3 linked regions of the Notamacropus eugenii genome follow. The protein of the gene in region 1 interacts with the protein of each later gene in a biochemical or structural test. Links are inferred from orthologs where the notes say so. Each region holds a gene or a part of one and is shown in the gene's direction. Other genes may lie near its edges. The genes, in order: ERBB2, SUPT6H and SRC.

Evidence for each region.
Region 2: the proteins of ERBB2 (region 1) and SUPT6H form a complex in vitro, tested with the Homo sapiens proteins (2 studies listed by BioGRID and IntAct, with this or other methods). The link is inferred for Notamacropus eugenii from reciprocal best matches to the Homo sapiens genes ERBB2 and SUPT6H.
Region 3: the proteins of ERBB2 (region 1) and SRC form a complex in vitro, tested with the Homo sapiens proteins (3 studies listed by BioGRID, with this or other methods). The link is inferred for Notamacropus eugenii from reciprocal best matches to the Homo sapiens genes ERBB2 and SRC.

What each region holds. Positions count from the first base shown.
Region 1 is NC_092873.1:355,230,466-355,236,208, forward strand, and holds the start of ERBB2 (receptor tyrosine-protein kinase erbB-2), read left to right. Parts: upstream 1-2,661; 5' UTR 2,662-2,971; coding exon 2,972-3,044; intron 3,045-5,743. UniProt on the Homo sapiens protein: Protein tyrosine kinase that is part of several cell surface receptor complexes, but that apparently needs a coreceptor for ligand binding. Essential component of a neuregulin-receptor complex, although neuregulins do not interact with it alone.
Region 2 is NC_092873.1:36,066,445-36,072,187, forward strand, and holds the start of SUPT6H (transcription elongation factor SPT6), read left to right. Parts: upstream 1-2,216; 5' UTR 2,217-2,338; intron 2,339-5,743. Other genes in the region: SDF2 (stromal cell-derived factor 2), read right to left, coding at 1-106, 1,768-1,930.
Region 3 is NC_092872.1:427,960,992-427,966,734, forward strand, and holds the start of SRC (proto-oncogene tyrosine-protein kinase Src), read left to right. Parts: upstream 1-2,124; 5' UTR 2,125-2,155; intron 2,156-5,743. UniProt on the Homo sapiens protein: Non-receptor protein tyrosine kinase which is activated following engagement of many different classes of cellular receptors including immune response receptors, integrins and other adhesion receptors, receptor protein tyrosine kinases, G protein-coupled receptors as well as cytokine receptors.

The sequences.
Region 1 (5,743 bases):
TTTCACATGCCATTGATTCCCAGACTCTAGCCAGGCGACCCTTAGAGGTCACCCCAGAAAGGTGGTGCCCCACGCTCTCCCTTCAACCACCAAGATCTAGGGAGGAGACTAACACTAGGAATAGTAAAGCAAAGCTGCTGCCTTCTAACCCTCACCCATGTCCTCCTGTCTTTGTCCTCCATTTTCTCTTTTTTCCTGTCCTTCAGTCTCCTGCCACCTACCCTTCATCCTTCTGGCCTTCAGGCTTGTTTCTGTCCCAAAGTTTCCCTCAAAGCTCCCTCTCTTTTAGTCATTCCCCTGTCACTCTCTCTCTTTCCATCATTCCCTCCTCTCTTTGATCCTTTGTTTTGTTCCCTCCTCCATTTACCCCTCTCCCAGCACCTCATTTTCCTCCCATAGTCTATCTCTGTGTGCCTGCTTTCTTTAATGTCCCCCATTCTCCCTTGATTTCCCATTCCTGATCCTCTGTCCTATATATAGAGAGAGTATTTACATATGTACTGTATATAGTCACCTCTATTTCAGTCTCCTCTCTCCAAAGTTCCCCACTGCTCCTGACCCACAAGACTCTCCCTCTCTAATTGTTCCCTCAAACTCAATCTTTCTCCTAGCCTCTCCTGCCAGGCCTTATGGGGAGAGGGGGGGAGTTGGAAGCACAAGGAAAGGGAGATTTGAATCTGCTGGGCCCACCCCCTGCCCCCTCTTCTCTACTCTTTCAAACAGCAGACAAGAATTTTCCCCCCTTCCTTCCTAGCTCTGAATAAGCCCATTCTCTGTCTCGGGAGTCCAGCCCCTCCGTGAGCCTCCTCCCCAGGAACAGAGATCTAACTTCAGCTCCTCCTCCCCCCCCCCCACCCTCTTGTCTGTCTAACCCCTCCCCTCTTTTTGCCTCCCTCCTTCCTCCTCAGCCAGCCACTGACACCTCATTGTTTTTCCAATGAAGACTTCTGGCTAGGAGGGTGACTCTGGTCTGGAAGGAGGCGACCTAGGCAAAAGAAGTGGTCTGCAATGGCTCCATTTGTCGTGTGTTCTAACACCCTCACCCTCAAGGTTTTCATAGGTAACCAATGGTTTCTGGTCAGAGAGGACACTGATGGGGTCCTTGATTTCTTACTATTGAGGCTGAATCAAAGCCTAACATCTACCCCACCTAGTTGGTCTTCCTAGTCTGCTCCCACCCCAGCTCACACATAGAGTGGAAAACTGGGGAGAAGGAGGAGGATGAGAACAGAAGTAAGAATAGGGAAAGGGGGGGGGGCAACTCTTACTTTTTACACTTTCTCCCTCATTAAGATGGTATCACTCAGCTCCCCACACCCTCACTTTCCCTAGGCTTCAAATCTCCTGTGTGAGCCAGTCAGATTTCACTGACAATAACAGCTATCCTTGTGTTTATCTTTGTTCTGTGTGTCCCATATTCCCCCCACCATGGACTGGAATAGCCTTGCTTCTCCCCTACCAGGAGCATCCTGGTTAGGAAAAAAAAAAAGAGCTCTGGAGAGAAAGAACTCTGAGGACCTAAAGAATCCTTATGGGATGAAGGGGACCTGAAACAGAAGCCCCATAAAAGGGACTCTGGACCCAGAGAGAGTCTATAGACCATCAGAGACATTCCCCCCAAAGGAATTCTGCACAGAGACTCCCCAGATGGGTACATACCTCACAAAGGAGACCCTAAACGTATGGAGGATGCCTTGGGCAGAGAAGTTCCACATAAAGACAGTGAACAAAGGGACATACAGACACTCCACAGAATCTTCAAAAGAGAAAACTCGCAGAAAATCCCCAAATGGACGAATCCTGGGCCCAGAGAGACTTATACAGAAGGCTCTGAACAGAGACCCATGTGAGGCAGCCTCGGTCCGACACCAAATTGAGGGGGCTGCTTAACTAACATTAACTAAATCTGTCCCTTCCCCACCTTGTAGTAGTCACTTTTCTGAGCCTGAGTTACTGCCTTTTTCTCTCAGAGCCTGAGAAGAGGATGCCTAGAATATCTCAAACTTAGTATATTCCCTTCCCTATCCTTCCACAAAAGAACTGGAATTTGCGATCCATCCACAGACCAAGGGCTCTGTAGACATTTCAGGAGGTCTGTGACCTTGGATGGGGAAAAAGAAATCTTTTATTTTCACTAACTTCTAATCTAACTGAAATTTAGCATTTCCTTCAGTTACATAAAAACATTATTCTAAGAAGGGCTCCATTGGCTTCATTAGGCTGCCAAAGGGGGTCCATGACACAAAAATAGTTAAGAATCCCTGTTCTAGAAGAAAGGGTTGGAGTAGATAATTGAGATGAGGATGAGCATGGGGGAAAGGAATGGAGCTTGTTAATAAAGGGAAGGGGAGCCTGGGTTAGGAGAAGATGGGGAAAGGCAGCCTTGATTAGGGTTCCCTCCAGATTAGAGGGTTGTGTAACAGTAGACTGGGAAAGCCTGGTGATGGCAAAAGTAAAGTATCCCGTCTGTCCCCAACCCCTCCTTCCAGGAACAACAGGTTTCTAAAAAAGTCTCTAGATTCAGGGGAGATTGAGGCACCCCCAGGCCTACCCAGGGAGATAGAAAGTAAAGCTGGGAGCAGCCACTGCCACTCCCAGAGACTTGTTGGAATGTAGTTGGGAGGGGGGGGGGGGGAGGGCGGGATCGAGACCGAGCAGCGCGCTCCCGAGAAGGAGGAGGAGGAGGAGGAGGAGGAGGAGGAGGAGGAGGAGGAGGAGGAGGAGGACAAGCAGTGACTGCTTTGAGGAACTACAGGAATGAAGTTGTAGAGCTGAGATTCCCCTGCAATCCTGGCTAAAAGAGAGAAGTCAGCAAAGAAGAAAAATACCTCCACTGAGCCAGTGACTCGCTCAAGGGGATTCCTGCCCGGATTGGGGTGCTTCCCAGGATCCCCTTATCTCCCAGCTCTTAGGTTCCATCGGTCCTCCTCCTGAGCCTGGGAGCCATGGGCCCCGGGCCGAAGTGAGGACTATGGATCTGTCGGGCTGCTGCTGTTGGGGGCTCCTTCTGGTCCTCCTGCCCCCAGCAGTCTGGGGAACCCAAGGTGAGTCCGACTGGGAGAGAACTGTCTGCAGCCCTTTCCTGCAAAGAATTCTCAAGGGGAAGAAAAACTTAGGGGCACATTTGACAGGGATGAGGAGTGGGAGTGAGGAAAGCAAAGATTTAGAAAGCATGGGAGTCAATAGAGAAGAAATATGACCAAGCCTCCGGGGGAAGGGGGACTCCCGGGAGGGCCTGGGGGGATGAAGTCAGAGAGATGAAGCCAGATCAGGGAGGTAGATAGGGCAGGGGGTAAAGTTACATTGAAGGGGCCCGACATAGGGCTTGGGTCCCAGCCAGCTCTTGTCAAACGGGGAAATAGTCAAAAAGTTTTACAGAATTGACCAGAAGGGGGAAAAAAGTCCTGCTAAGTTTTGTGTGTGTGTGTGTGTGTGTGTGTGTGTGTGTGTGTGTGTGTGCGCGCGCGCGCGCGCGTGCGTTTGTGTATTCGCGTTCATATGTTCCTTCTGTTTGACTCTTAAAATCCACAGCCACTAATCTCCAGACTGAACTGGGCTGGGCTGGCTTTCTGGGGGGGGGGGGGGGGGTCCTAATTTGTTCTTCAATCCTCCCTCCTCTCCTGCCCCCCCACCCACTCTCTACCTCAGGTTGTTACTACTCCAATTCTGCCTTGGGCTGGGGGGGTGGGGTTGGGAGGGGGCAGAGAGATAACCAGTTGGACCAGGAGTGGGGAGAGAAGAAGGTTGTAGGTTTGCTTGGATGTTACCACACTCACTAGTGTGGGGAGGGAGGCCTAGAGACGGAAGAAAAGAGGGGGCGGGTAGGGGAGACAGTTGTTTTGAATAAATTTCTTCTGGGCCAGTCTGGGAAGGAGAGAAAGGCTTAATTTTGTTGGGCTTAACTCGGCAGGTGTAAGGGATGGGACATAAAGAGGGGTTCTGGGGTGGTCTTGGGGCATGGGGGAGAATTCCAAAGGTTGGGGACTTGGCAAACTAAAAGGGACCACTTGGAGCTGAAAGGGTAAGGGCTGTTGCTTTTGGTTTGGCCTTTTCCTTCATTGAGGGTGGAGGGAGAAAGGGATGAGGTGGGATAGGACTGAAGGCTGTTGAGGGCAGCATACACTTGAGGAGAGGATCTTGGCGGATGTTGAGTCTCTCTCTATGTGCCTCTGGGGGCGGGGTCTGTGTGTGTCTCAATGTCTGTAAGTCTGTTTTGTCTGTATGTGTGTGTTCCTTTGTGTTACCAAACAACGCTGACTCCATAACTTGGGTTCTGGGGAACTGTGCTCTTTGCATACCCAGGATCTTTGAGATGACTGAGTCAGGTTTGCTGGAAAGCCCCAAATAAATGTATCCCATCCTCTCCATTTGGATCCAGAACATAGTACTTAGCTCTCCCTCTCTGACCCCACATGTTTAGCTTCCCGACCCGCAATCCAGAATCTCTTCAGACTCTAATATTCTGGCTAAGGCAGGACAGTTAGTGTGTAATCTGGATTCTTGAAACTATGTTTTTGTTCAACTGCTGAAAAAACTGGGTGACCAAGAAAGGAGGCCTGATGGGAGCTTCTGTTATGTTGGTAATATGGGTCTATAGTTCTCTCCCTGCCTCAGTTTCTTTACCTTTGTGCCTCAGTTTCCACAGGTTTCCCTACTACTGTTCTTATGCTCATATTTTTAAAAAATCCTTGATGGACCTGTTCAAAGGAGAAAGGAGATGAATATGTTGGGGATGGGGGGTATTGAGGAAGGAGGGGAAGGGATAGTCAAAGGGTCAGTTCTTCATACAAGTTGCTCCCTATCCCGTCTCTTCAGGGGCAGCATACTGTAAGGATATGTCATAGGTAATTCTACCTAAAGGAAACTACCTGTGAGGCTACAGGAAGGGGCATTGAGGAGGGACTTCAGAGTCTGGGCAAGGGGAGTGAATAAAAGGCAGAGAGGTCAGACTTTTGCCAGAATCCTATCTCATAGGCTGAGGAATTATTGACTTTGAAAGCCATGTAAATTCTCAATTTGTGTATTATCTACAGCTTATGCTTATGATTATTAATACTGAGGTTGGCTCCCCTATTATCCACCATTCCCTCCCCCGCATTAGTGGTTGTGCTCCAGGGAAGTAAACTCATTTAAGTATTAAGTAAAGTATAATGGGGAAGATAAATTCATTGCATTTCAAAGGTCAAAATAAAATACTTTGATTTTGTCATCGATGACTAACTTGTGAGACTGAGAGTCAGTCACAGTCCCAAATTCACTTTCCCTAAAGGCAGCATCCTGAAGAGTGCCATTTCTCTTTTTCTAGAAAAATAATTCTGACCCAGTTGTCTAGTCTTCCAAGGGACCAAAAAAAAAAAAAAAAAAAAAAGGAAGGCATTGTCTTGCCCAAGTCGTGGAAGTTCTTCACCTCTGTTGCAACCTTGGACCCCTTAGACAGTATGATGAAACCTATGAATCCCTTTTCAGAACAGTGTTTTTAAATCATTTAAAGATGTTATATTTCAGTTAGAAGTTAATGGAAATAACTGCATTTTTTTTCTCCATCCAAGTTCATGGACACCTTCCCCCCCAAAAAACCCATGGTTCATGGACCCCAGATAAACAGCCTTTGCCCTCTGGTGTAATATAAAATGCTGGACTTAAGCCAGAAAGTCCTGGGTTCAAATGCCATCTATGGAGCTTGTTAGCTGTGTGACTCTGGACTCTGCAACAACCTTGCTGGAGCCACAATTTCCTCATGTAT
Region 2 (5,743 bases), about 320 Mb from region 1:
ACTGGGGTTCCTCTCTCACACACTGTAGAGGTTTTTCCTCTGATCCGCCAGTAACTGTTGCTGTCATCCACATCTGATACACCTGTAACTGACTGCTGCCCACTACCTGGAAAAAATGAAGATGTTCTAGCCTCACTGATTGAGAGCTAGAAGGGAACTTGGTGATTAACCCAAACTCTGAAGAAAATGTGCGGCCAGAACCACAGTGAAGTATAATTGGGAAACGTGAACAAAAAAATCATAAAAAAACACTACATGTTTCTAAGTCAATGTGCCTTCAGGGAAGGATTTATTTCTATGCGAATCTGACCTCACTGATTTAGAGTATCTAAACAGAAGTGACAAAAAAAAACCCAACTGTAAAGATAGGTGAGAGTCAGATTATGAAGGTTTTTAAAGACCAGGCTGAGGTGTTTGCATTTCAGCATAGAGTCAATAGGGAGCCATTGAAGATTTAGGAGTAGGGGAGTGACTAAAGTCAGCCTGTGTTTCAGATATGCTAATCCGGGAGCCTGCTGAAGGAAGAGACAGGAAGCAAGGGGGCCAAGAAGGCTTCATCTAAAGTCTAGGAGAGATGAAACTGAGGTCTGGAACTAGAGTGTTAGCAGTGAGTGGAGAGAAGAGGGCAGGGGTGAGAGCTGGTGGAGGTAGAATCCCTGTCAGCAAATGACTGGCTGTGAAGGGTTGACTCTGAGATGGTAAACCTGGGTGACCAAGGAAGCCCAGTGGTGTCCTCCACAGAAATTCAATTCTTATGATCACAAACAGAGTGAATTAGACGCCCTCTAATGCAAACCCGTTGATTTTACAAACAAGGAAACTGAAGCCCAGGAAAGTTAATTGGCTTGTCATTTGAAATCAGTCTGGAAAGACTGGCTAGAGCCAGATTGTAAATCAAGCAATAAACGTGTTAAGCATTTACCATATGTCAGGTACTCTCCTAAGTGCTGGGGACACAAAGAAAAATAATGCTAAAACAAGGAATTTGTCATTTTACCTTAAAAAAAAATTAGAATCCCTGAAATTTTTTGAGCTGAAGATCATCATATTCATGCCAGTTTTTTCAGATTATTTTGATATATATAATTTATACCAAATTGCTTGCCTTCTTAAAGACAGGATGGAATTAAGTGCTCAAAAATTGTTTTTAAAAGAATGTCAAAAATTGTAATTACACGCACCTGGAAAAAATATTGAAAAAGAAAAAGATTATTTAGATAGCTGTGTGTAGAGGATGGGTGAGAGAGGGGAGAAAACGGGACAGAAGCTTCCAGCAACAGTCACCTGAACAAAGGGGATGGCTGCGTGAGAGAAGACAGATGCAAGAAATCTTTCAACTAGTCTCAACGGAAGGAGGGACATGCAGATTGGAGGGGTACGCTGCGCCTCCCCCACCAGCCTAGTGAGGACACTCGTTCGCCACGGCCGGGGCCTGGCTCTCCTTCTTCCCCCCATTCCCTTCCTCCTCTTCCTGTCCACCCAGCTGGGCCAGAGTCCGGAAGCCTTCCCGTCCCCTCCTCCCCGCGACTCCTCCAAGCCCCGCCCCCACGCGTTGCTCCGTCCCTTCCAGATTCCTCGAAGTTCAGGGCTCCTCCTCCCACCCACGTGTTTTTCCGCCCCAGGCCCCGCCTCCCAATGGTTCCCCCCTCCCCTTCCGCCTCGAATGCACCTAGGCCCAGTCCCCGGGGATCCCCCAGGCCAAGTTCCGCCCCCGGGAGGGGACTTTTTCCATTCTTTCCTCTTCCCGGCCCCGCCCCGTGGGCTCACCGGACCCGTAGTGTACGTCATGAGAGTGCAGCCGGACGTTGTGGCGCGTGTTGAGGAGCTTCACGACAGAGCCGCAGGTGACGAAGGGCAGGTCGGAAGCTCCAGCCAGGCCCAGCAACCCCGCAAACAGCAGCAGCTGCCCCGCCGGGCCCCGCCGCCCCATCGCCCTGACGGAAACACGGCCCCACCCCGGAACCGGAAGCAGTGGGCGGGGCCAGGCCTCCGCTCTCTATGCCCCGTCTCGCTAGAGCGCCCGGAGGAAACGGCCGGACTCGCCTGCCTCCTGCTCACGCACGCCCCCACGCGGAGGCCGCCGGCGGCCGCTTTCCTGCCGCGGTCCTAGTTTCCCTTCGCCTGCTCCAGCCCCAGAGAACAGCCCGTCCCTCCGAGTGGCGGGGGAGAGGGCCGCCTGCTCTCAGTGACAGCGCACCGGAAGTGACCTCAGACGCCGCGGCGGCCGCGGGCGTCGGGGAGGGGGCACGTCGGTGTGGGGGCCCCCGGACTCGCTTTCCGTGACTCTGCCAAGCGGCGACTCCATTTTCCTCGGAGGCTCGGCGCTGCGGCGGGCTCGGTAAGGCCGGGGTCGGGGCTCGGCGTGGGGGGACTGCGTGGGTGGTCCGGGGTGCGGCGGGGCGGGGCGGGGGACCCTGAGGGGCGCGGGACTCGCCGCTGGGGCGCCCCCCCGCACACGCCTTCTCGGCTGGGCGGCCCCCGCCCGCCACTTGTTGAGTCCTTGGGGTCCCCCGGCTCCCAGAAGCTGGGGAGACGCCTCCCGGGGTGGCGGGCGGTGCCTGGGCCTGGTTCCGCCTGCGGGTGCGGGGGGACCTCGTGGAGGGTGTCGGCCTTTCGGGGGCATTCCCGTGTCCCTCCGCTGTGTCTGCCGGAGGTCGCAGCCCCTGGCTCGGCTCGAGTTACCCACGCCGCCGGGCGGGGGAGGGACCTTTAAATGGCCCCGGAGGCCAAGCTCAGACCTCCGGGGTCTCGTGTGTGCGTGCCTGTCAGCATCGCCTGCATCAGTGTGGCGCTTACTGTGTACCAACCCGTGCCCAGCGCCCGAGTTACAGAGAAAGGGCAAAGAAAGGCCAACACCCAGTCCCTGCCCTCAAGGAACCCCCAGTCCAACTGGGGAGGTCCGTGCTAGAGACTGTACCAGCTAGGTGCTGGCCGGAGAGAGGCCCGAGGGATCCTTCGGTGTGTTAGCGTGTACTAAGTACTTACTGGGTGCCAAGTGCCGTGCTAAGTGGTGGGGAGGCCGAGAGGAGGCGTGTACCTTCTATTGGAGGAAGCAGGTATGCTGCAGGTACTCCAGAGTGGGTGGAGGTCGTCTGAAGTGGGAAGGTTCTAGCTAGCCGCTGCGGCTTGGGAAAGGCCTCTTTTGTAAGGTGGGATTTGAGCTGCCTCTGGTAGGAAGCCCGGAAACTCGGAGGAAAAGGCAGGAGACTGAGCATTCCCGGCCTGGGGGACGTCTGTGACAGGCCACGGTCCACCCCCACCGTAGGGGAGAAGGAGAGGGGAGACTGAGCGGTATGTCTGAGGAACTGGAAGTAGGTCAGGGTGGCCCGCTGCACTATTGAATCCTTGCTGAACAGGTAGGAAGGAGCCGGCTTGTGAAGAGCTTTAAATGTCAGATTTTATGTTTATTCCGGGAGATGATATGGAGTCGCTGGAGCTCGTTGACCAGGGAAGGGACAGATTTTCCTATCTGCAATGTAAGAAAATCACCTTGGCAGCTTAGGATGCACTGGAGTGTGTTCCTCCTTGCTTGCCCAAGAGGTCCACGCCATCAGAGAAATGAAGACATGACTTGCACTTGACTTTGTTCTGAGTGAGGGAGGGCTGTGCAGGTCACCAGCCTCACTTCTTCTCCAGAGCCATCTGAATCCAGTGACCAGATATTCATCAGAATGACTGGAGATGACCCAGGATGAGGCAGTTGGGGTGAAGTGACTTGCCCAAGGTCACACAGCTAGTGAGTGTCAAGTGTCTGAGATGAGATTTGACCTCAGGTCCTCCTGACTCCTGCACTGGTGGTCTATCTACTGCACTGCTTAGCTGCCCCTAGGATGCATTGGAGTAGGAAAAGATTTGAAGCAGGGAGACTAGTTAGAAGGTTATTCCTATAGTGCAGAAAAGAGGTAATTAATTTGTGGCTGTGTTGATGAAGAGAAAAAGACAAATTTGAGAAATGTATTAAATTTTGCAAAATAGAAACAATAAGATTTGGCAATGGATTACTTAGCTGGGGTGGGTGAGAGGGAGAAGCTGGGTAACTGGGAGGTTGTTGGTAGCCTCAACAGTAATAGGGAAATTTAAAGGGGGGGAATATAATGGATTGTGTTTTGGTTTTGTTATATTTGAGATACTTGTGGGACAGCCCAAGATACCCAAGATCCAGTTGGAGAAAGATGATTAGCTCAGCAGAGAAACTGGGGTTGAATACATAGAGCCAGGAGTCATCTGTATAGAAATTATAATTGAACTCATGGGAGCTAATGAAAGCACAAAGTGAGTTAAAATAGAAGGAGATGCAGGATATACTGTTGTGGGATACTCACAGTGGGCATGATCTGGCAAAGACAAGAAGCAATTGTTGGACAGAGGGGAAGAACCTAGACAGAGCTGAGTCACAAAAACCTTTAGAGAAAAGAAGATGAACAGTAGTATCAAATACAGCTTTGAGGTTAAGAAGGATCAGGATTAAAAAGGAGAAAATGCCCTTGGAGTTGGCATTTAGAACTCATTGGCCCAGTGGTAGTCTGGCCATGTCTAATCCCTGCTACTGGGGAGGCTGGATCTCTTGAGCTGCATTGGGCTGTGCAGCACTAAATTTGGCCTTGATGTAGTGAACTCCCCGGGAATAAGGGCCCACTAGGTGACCTAAAGAAGGATGAACTGGCCCAGGTCAGAAAAGGAGCAGGTTAAAGAAGTTTGGCCATCAGTGGGATCAAGTCCCAAGTGGCCCATGCACTTCTAGGGAGAGCCCAGTCTTTTGAGGGAAAGGAGATAGGGGGGCTTACCTGCCAAGGTTCTATGGTTCCTCCAGATAATAAGTGACACCAAACTTGGACCCCATACTCTTTAACTGTATATCCAATGCTTTTTTCATTTCTATTCCTGCCCTTCCTCCCTCTCCTTAACTCTTGTCTGCTGCCCCAGACATCCTGAGCCACCACCTTGGGAGTTTGTCATTATTTCTGTGAGAGTTAGTTAGTAGTTATACAGGTACTAAAAGCCCTGGAGGAAGAATATGCAGTTTAACTGACTCTTGTGGGAAAACATTGTTCCCATACTTCTCTGAAATAGTTGTTATATTATTAAAGAGTCCTCATCTCAGTTCTCTGGCTATCTTGATTCTAGATGGAACAAATATTTGATCTGACCGATACATCCAGCCAAAATGACTGTAATGGAAATAATTAATGACCGTTGGTTTAAGTAGTCTGAATGCAAAGAGTCAGATTAACTCTAGTATTGTTCCCTTTTTGGAATCTGTGTATTGAAGTCTAACTAGACAGGTTCCTGTTTGAGGGAGAAGCTTCTATTTGTCCCAGGCTTCAGTCAGCTAATCCAAGTTCTCTACCCTGACAGACTTGAGAGTCGATCACTTTTAGAGTCTGGTGAAATGTGCAGTGTGTCTGAGTCTATGTGCCATATTAAATGAGGAAGAGATTCCAATCTTTAGGACTTAAACTAGTTGGATTTTGGAAAAGAAAATGGCTTTTTAGATTATTGTTGGTAATAGTAATCAGATTTTTACTTTAAGAACTTTGATCTAAATTTAGATTAGGTAAGGCATTTATTAAAGTCTTTGTGCTAGGTACTGGGCTAAATTGGTCATTTTTTAGGTCCTCATCAATTGATATTGTGTGGCTAAATCTTTTAGCTATATGTCAACTAGAAAGTCCAGTTGGAGTTATTAACCTTTGAGGGTTTTAATACCTTGGTCATGGAGAATGAAGACTGGTGCTAGCTCAGT
Region 3 (5,743 bases), on another chromosome or scaffold:
GGAAGTTGATGAGATTACCAAGTAAGACAGTATAGAGGGAAAAGAAAAGAGGGCCCAGGGCAGTGCAGGGCAAATAGACTACTTGTTGTTGTGTGAACTTGGGCAAATTACTTATTCTCTCTGGACCCCAATTTCTTCATCTGTAAAATTTATAAAATTCAAGGGTCTCAAAGGTCTCTCCCAATTCTAAATCAGCGCTTGTGTGAGCTAGAGGGAAAATTGACAAAGGAATAGTCAGTCAGACAGGAAAGGAACCACAAAAGATGAGGGTCACAAAAACCTACAGAAGAAAGAATATCATGGAAGAGAAAGTGATGAACAGTAGAAAATGATGAAGAGAGGTCAAGAAGAATTGAAGAGAGGCCTTTAGATTTGGCAATTAAATCATAGGTACTTTTGGAAAGGTTTTAGTTGAGTTATTAGGTAAGAATCCAGATTGCAGAGAGTTTAGAAGTGAGTGGAGAAGTGGAGTGAGAGATAGGGATCACCTTAAGTCCAATTTTCCTTGTTTTACTGATAGGGAAACTGAGGCTAAAAGAGGGAACATTAACTTGTCCAGAAGTATTTCCTTTCCTGGTCCTCTGTTTTTGTTTATGATGTGACCTTTTATGTCTAAATTATGTATCTGTTTGGAACTTATCTTGGTGTGTGGTATGAGATGCTGTTCTAATCTTAATTTGTCAGACTGCTTTTCCATTTTTGTTGAATAGTGAGCCCTTACCCTAATAATTGGTATTATTGAACATTAAACAACTATGTTCATTTTCTTCTACATGTTGTGTAGTTAACCTGCTCTTCCCATTGATTTTTCTCTATTTTAAAACCAATACCAATTAGATTTAATATTTACTTTTTTGTAATATAGTTTGTGATCTGGTACTACTAGGACCCTTTCCTTCTCACCTCTTTTTCATTTTCCTTTGAGATTCTTAACCTTTTGTTTTTTGGTTGTTTTTTTTTTTTATATTTTAACTCTTAAAAAGTAATCCTTTACTAGTTTGGCATAGCATTAAACAAATTTATGAAAGATTGTCATTTTTACATTGGCACAACTTAACCATGAGAAATGAATATTTCTTCAATTATTTCTGTATGGGGTACTTTGTAGTTGCATTCATAGAATTCTTGTGAGTATCTTGTTACCTGGATTCCCAGTATTTTATATGTTCTTTAGTTATTTTGAATGGAATTTCTCTGTCTTCACTAGGTTTTATTGGTACTATATAGAAAACCTGATAATTTATGTGGATTTATTTCTGTATCACTTCATATAAATCTTTTCCATGCTTTTCTGTATTTATCAGAAATACATAATTTCTTATAGCACATTCATTTACTGTAATAAATATTTCATTACATTCATGTACCATAACTTGTTAGCCATTCCTCAGTTGATGGATATCTACTTTGTTTCCAGTTCTTTGCCATCACAAAAAGTACTGCTATAATGCTCGGGGTCAGGGCCCAAGCCCCCTGGATCCCCCTGACCCACGGGCCTCTAATCTGTGGGCCCTGAAGGAAGAAGACTGGAGACAAGATGATCCAAGCAACAACCCTTTATTCAGCTGAGGGTTAGGGTTTATAAAGGCTGATCCACCAATCACATACATGCTGAGCTCATCCCATTACTTCACCTTCTCATGACTATTCCACATCCTTACATCCCCAGTAAGTAAGGAAGCTTATCTTGTTCCTGCAGCTAGTTCCTGGGTTCCCAGGCTCACTTGTAACTTTACTGTACAGGACATCAGTGTCTGCAGGAACATCAGGTTCCAGGGTCACACAGAGCTTCTGCCAGGGTGTGCGTCAGCACCGTTCCCACGGGAACAGGCTTTGCCTCTGACTTGCACCCCCTGGGACCCTCTGGTCCCCTTACACTATAACTTCCTTAGGGTATAAGCCTAATAATGGTGTCTCTGATTCAGAGCATATGGACTTTTAAGTCACTTTATTTGCAGAATTCCAAATTGCTTTTTAACATGGTTGTGCCATTTCACAGCTCCAAAAATGTTTTGTTGTAGCCTCTGTGCTGATATTTTATTTAATGATTTTTCATCAATATTCATAAGTCATGCTGGTCTATAATTTACTTTCTCTGCTTTTTTTCTCCCTCGTTTAGGTACCAAGACTACGTTTATATCATAGAATATTTTTGGTAAGATATCTTTTTCCACTTTTGTGAATAGTTTACATAATATTGAAATTAATTGTTTTTTGAATATTTGACAAAATTCAATTTAAAAGCAATTTGGTCCTGGATATTCTTTCTTTTTATTTATAGCACTAAAAAGTTTTTTTTTAACTGAAATTATGTTATTAAAATTATCTATTTTTGTTGCATCAATCTAGATATATAATACTTTTATAAGTATTCTTTCATAGCATCTAAGTTATCCATTCTGTTGGCATATAATTGGCATAATCATTTTCATAATTTCCTTTATTTTACCTATATTATGAATTTTGCTTTTTAGATTTTGATACATACTGACAATTTGATTGTACACTCCTTTTTTAAAAACTCATATTAATTAACTTAAACTATGATATTTTTTAAAATAAGCTACTACTTTTAATTATCAGTTATTTTTTTTTTGCCTTCAATTTTGTTAATCTCCTTTGACTTTCCAAATTTCTGTTTCTGTGTTTAGTTCTTTTTTTTGTAATGCTTTTCTAGTTTTTTAAATTGCATACCAAATTCATTGTTCTGTTTTTTTCTTTCTTTTGTTGATGGGCATGTTTAGAGACTTTGTAACCAAATCATACTTTATTTGATTATGTCCTGGACATCATTGTATCCTAAGATTTCTTTATTGTTTAGAGCCTTCTTCTCTTTATTCATGTTTCTGGTTTAAATTCCTGAATCAAGAAATTTTGTCAGGGTCAGTCCCTGACTGCTCCTGTACACTTGGATGGGAGAGTGGTTCCCTCTTTTGGACTTTTTTTTGGATATATTTTTAAGTTAGATTTTAATACACTGGTAGCTGCCACCTCTGCTTATAGAAAAATTAGAGAAGTTTTGAGGGAAGAGAACAGTCAGAACACATGAAAGATTACAGTATATCCATTTATCCCTAAAGAATCCCATAATAATTAGACATTGCATTCCCCAGTTGATGAATGGTCAAAGGATATGAACAGGGAATTTTCAGAGGAAGAAATTAAAGGTATCTATAATTATATAAAAAAATGCTCTAAATCACTGTTGATTAGAGAGAAGTAAATCAAAACGACTCTGAGTTGCCACATCATACCTATCAGATTGGCTAACACGACAAAACAGGAAGATGATAAATGTTGGAGAAGATGTGGGAGAGTTGGAACACTAATTCATTGTTGGTGGAGCTGTGAGCTGATCCAACCATTCTGGAGAGCAATTTGGAACTATGCCCAAAGGGCTACAAAAATGTTTATACCCTTTGACCCAGCAATATCGCTTCTGGGACTGTATCCCAAAGAGATCATATAAATGGGAAAGGGTCCCACATGTACAAAAATATTTATAGCAGCACTCTTTGTGGTGGCCAAAAACTGGAAATCAAGGGGATGCCCATCAATTGGGGAATGGCTGAACAAGCTGTAGTATATGAATGTAATGGAATACTATTGTGCTGTGAGAAATGATGAACAGGAAGACTTCAGAGAGGCCTGGAAGGACTTATATGAACTGATGCTGAGTGAAAAGAGCACAGCAATAACCACAGTGTGTGAGGAATTTTTTTGGTAGACGTAGTATTTCATTAAAATGCACAGACTTAAAAAATTTGCAGTGGTGTCTTGAAGCAAAATGCCTTCCACATCCAGAGAAAGAACTATGGAATTGGATCTCAGATAGAAACAGATCGTTTTCTTTTGTATTGTGTTTTGTTTTGTTTTATGGTTTCTCCCATTCATTTTAATTCTTCTATGCAACATGCATTTAATAGGAATGTACGTGTAGAACCTGTATAAGATTGTATACCATCTCAGGGAGGGTGTGGGGAGGAAGGGGGGAATGAAGCGGAAGAAGTGGAAGAAAATCTAAGATATATGGAAGTGATTGTCAAACACTGAAAACAAATAAAATAATTCAGTTAAAAAATAATAAAATAAAATAAATAAAGACATTGAACAGATAGCTGTTAGGGCTAACAGTAATTGCCCTTGCTGCCAATCACTGGTAATTCTTTGGAATCAAAGGATTTTTTTTTTCTTTTGGAGAGATGTTTTCTTTTTACTTCTTAAATTTAAATTCTTTAAAATTTTAAAAACATTTTGTTTTTATTCTTAACTCAAACAGCAAAAAAGTTGATTCTGTATCACAAATCACCATTTCATACCATGTTCTTTTAAAATACATATGTAATTAATTCTCACATTATGTCAAAACTGTCCTGATTATCTATATTGCTTCCTGAACTTCCTTCCATAATCTTCCGTGCATTTAAAACATTGTTGCAGCTGTCTGTTTTGAAAATCACTATTGCTTCATCTTCAATGCTCCTCCCCATTAGAAACCTCAAGAAAGAAGGGGGAAAAACCCATGTTATAAATATGCATAGTAAAGTCAAATGAATCCATATGAAGTCCATGTAATAACAATGTATTTCTCTTTCTGTTTCTTGCTTCTATCACCTTTCTTTCAGGATATGGCTAGCATGGTTTATCATAGGTCCTCTAAAGAAGTCATTGAATTGATCAGAATTCTTAGGTCTTTCAGAGTTGTTTTTCTTTATAATGCTGCTATCCTTGTGTAAATTGTTCTCTTGGTTCTGCTCATTTCACTGTGCATCAGTTCATACTATCCAGGATTCTCCACAATTATCTCTTTTTTCTTATTTTATGTTGCAATTATATTCCATTATATAATATGCCACAGTTTGTTCAGCTATCCCCTAGTTGTCTAAGAGATAATCTAAGGCACACTCTTCCCTCTCAGAGTCTAGTATTTTTCATTTTTCTTCCTTTCATTTCTTTCTTCAGGATCAGGAAGTTCTTTGGTTTGTGATTACTCCTACCCTGTTATTACTCCCTCTCTTCATTCACTGACTCGTTATCCTCACTTGTTTTTCAATTTAATTTGATGTATTTCTGCAATAAACTGTGTGTGAGGGGGTGTGGCAGTATGTGTGTGTGTGTGTGTGTGTGTGTGTGTGTGTGTGTGTTTATATTTAACTCGTTTGAGTAAGGTTCTTCTGATAACCATTCCTTTGCCCCTTTCCTTCCTTCCTTTCAAATAAGGTTACTCTCATACATCCCAATTATGAAAAAAGTTTCACTCCCCCTTCTCCCTCATTTCTATACTAGTGTATTACTCTTATCCTTCTTTCTATTTCACCTCTTAAAGACCTCAGAACCAATGAGCCATTTTTCTTCAATATTCTTTGCTGTGATTCAGTTCTAAAGGGACACATATATTCTCTCCATTAGAATTTAGCCTTGCATCATCATATAGTTCCTTATAATTGTTCAAATAAATGTACATTTCTTGGTTTTTCTGGGCTTGTGTGTTTGCATTTCTAAGTTCCTACATAATACTTGTCTTTACGTTAGAAATGCTTAAAGGGTCTCTATTCCATTACAAATCCATTATTTCCTTTGTAGAATAATAATCAGCATTACAGAATAAGTAATTTTTATTGGTAAGCCTACTTCATTGCCTTTTGGAATATTGTATTCCAAAATCTCTTGTTTTTGGTAGTAGTTCCCAGTTCTTATGTGATCCTGTGCTTGAACTAGTTCTTTCTGAATACTTCCAGTATTA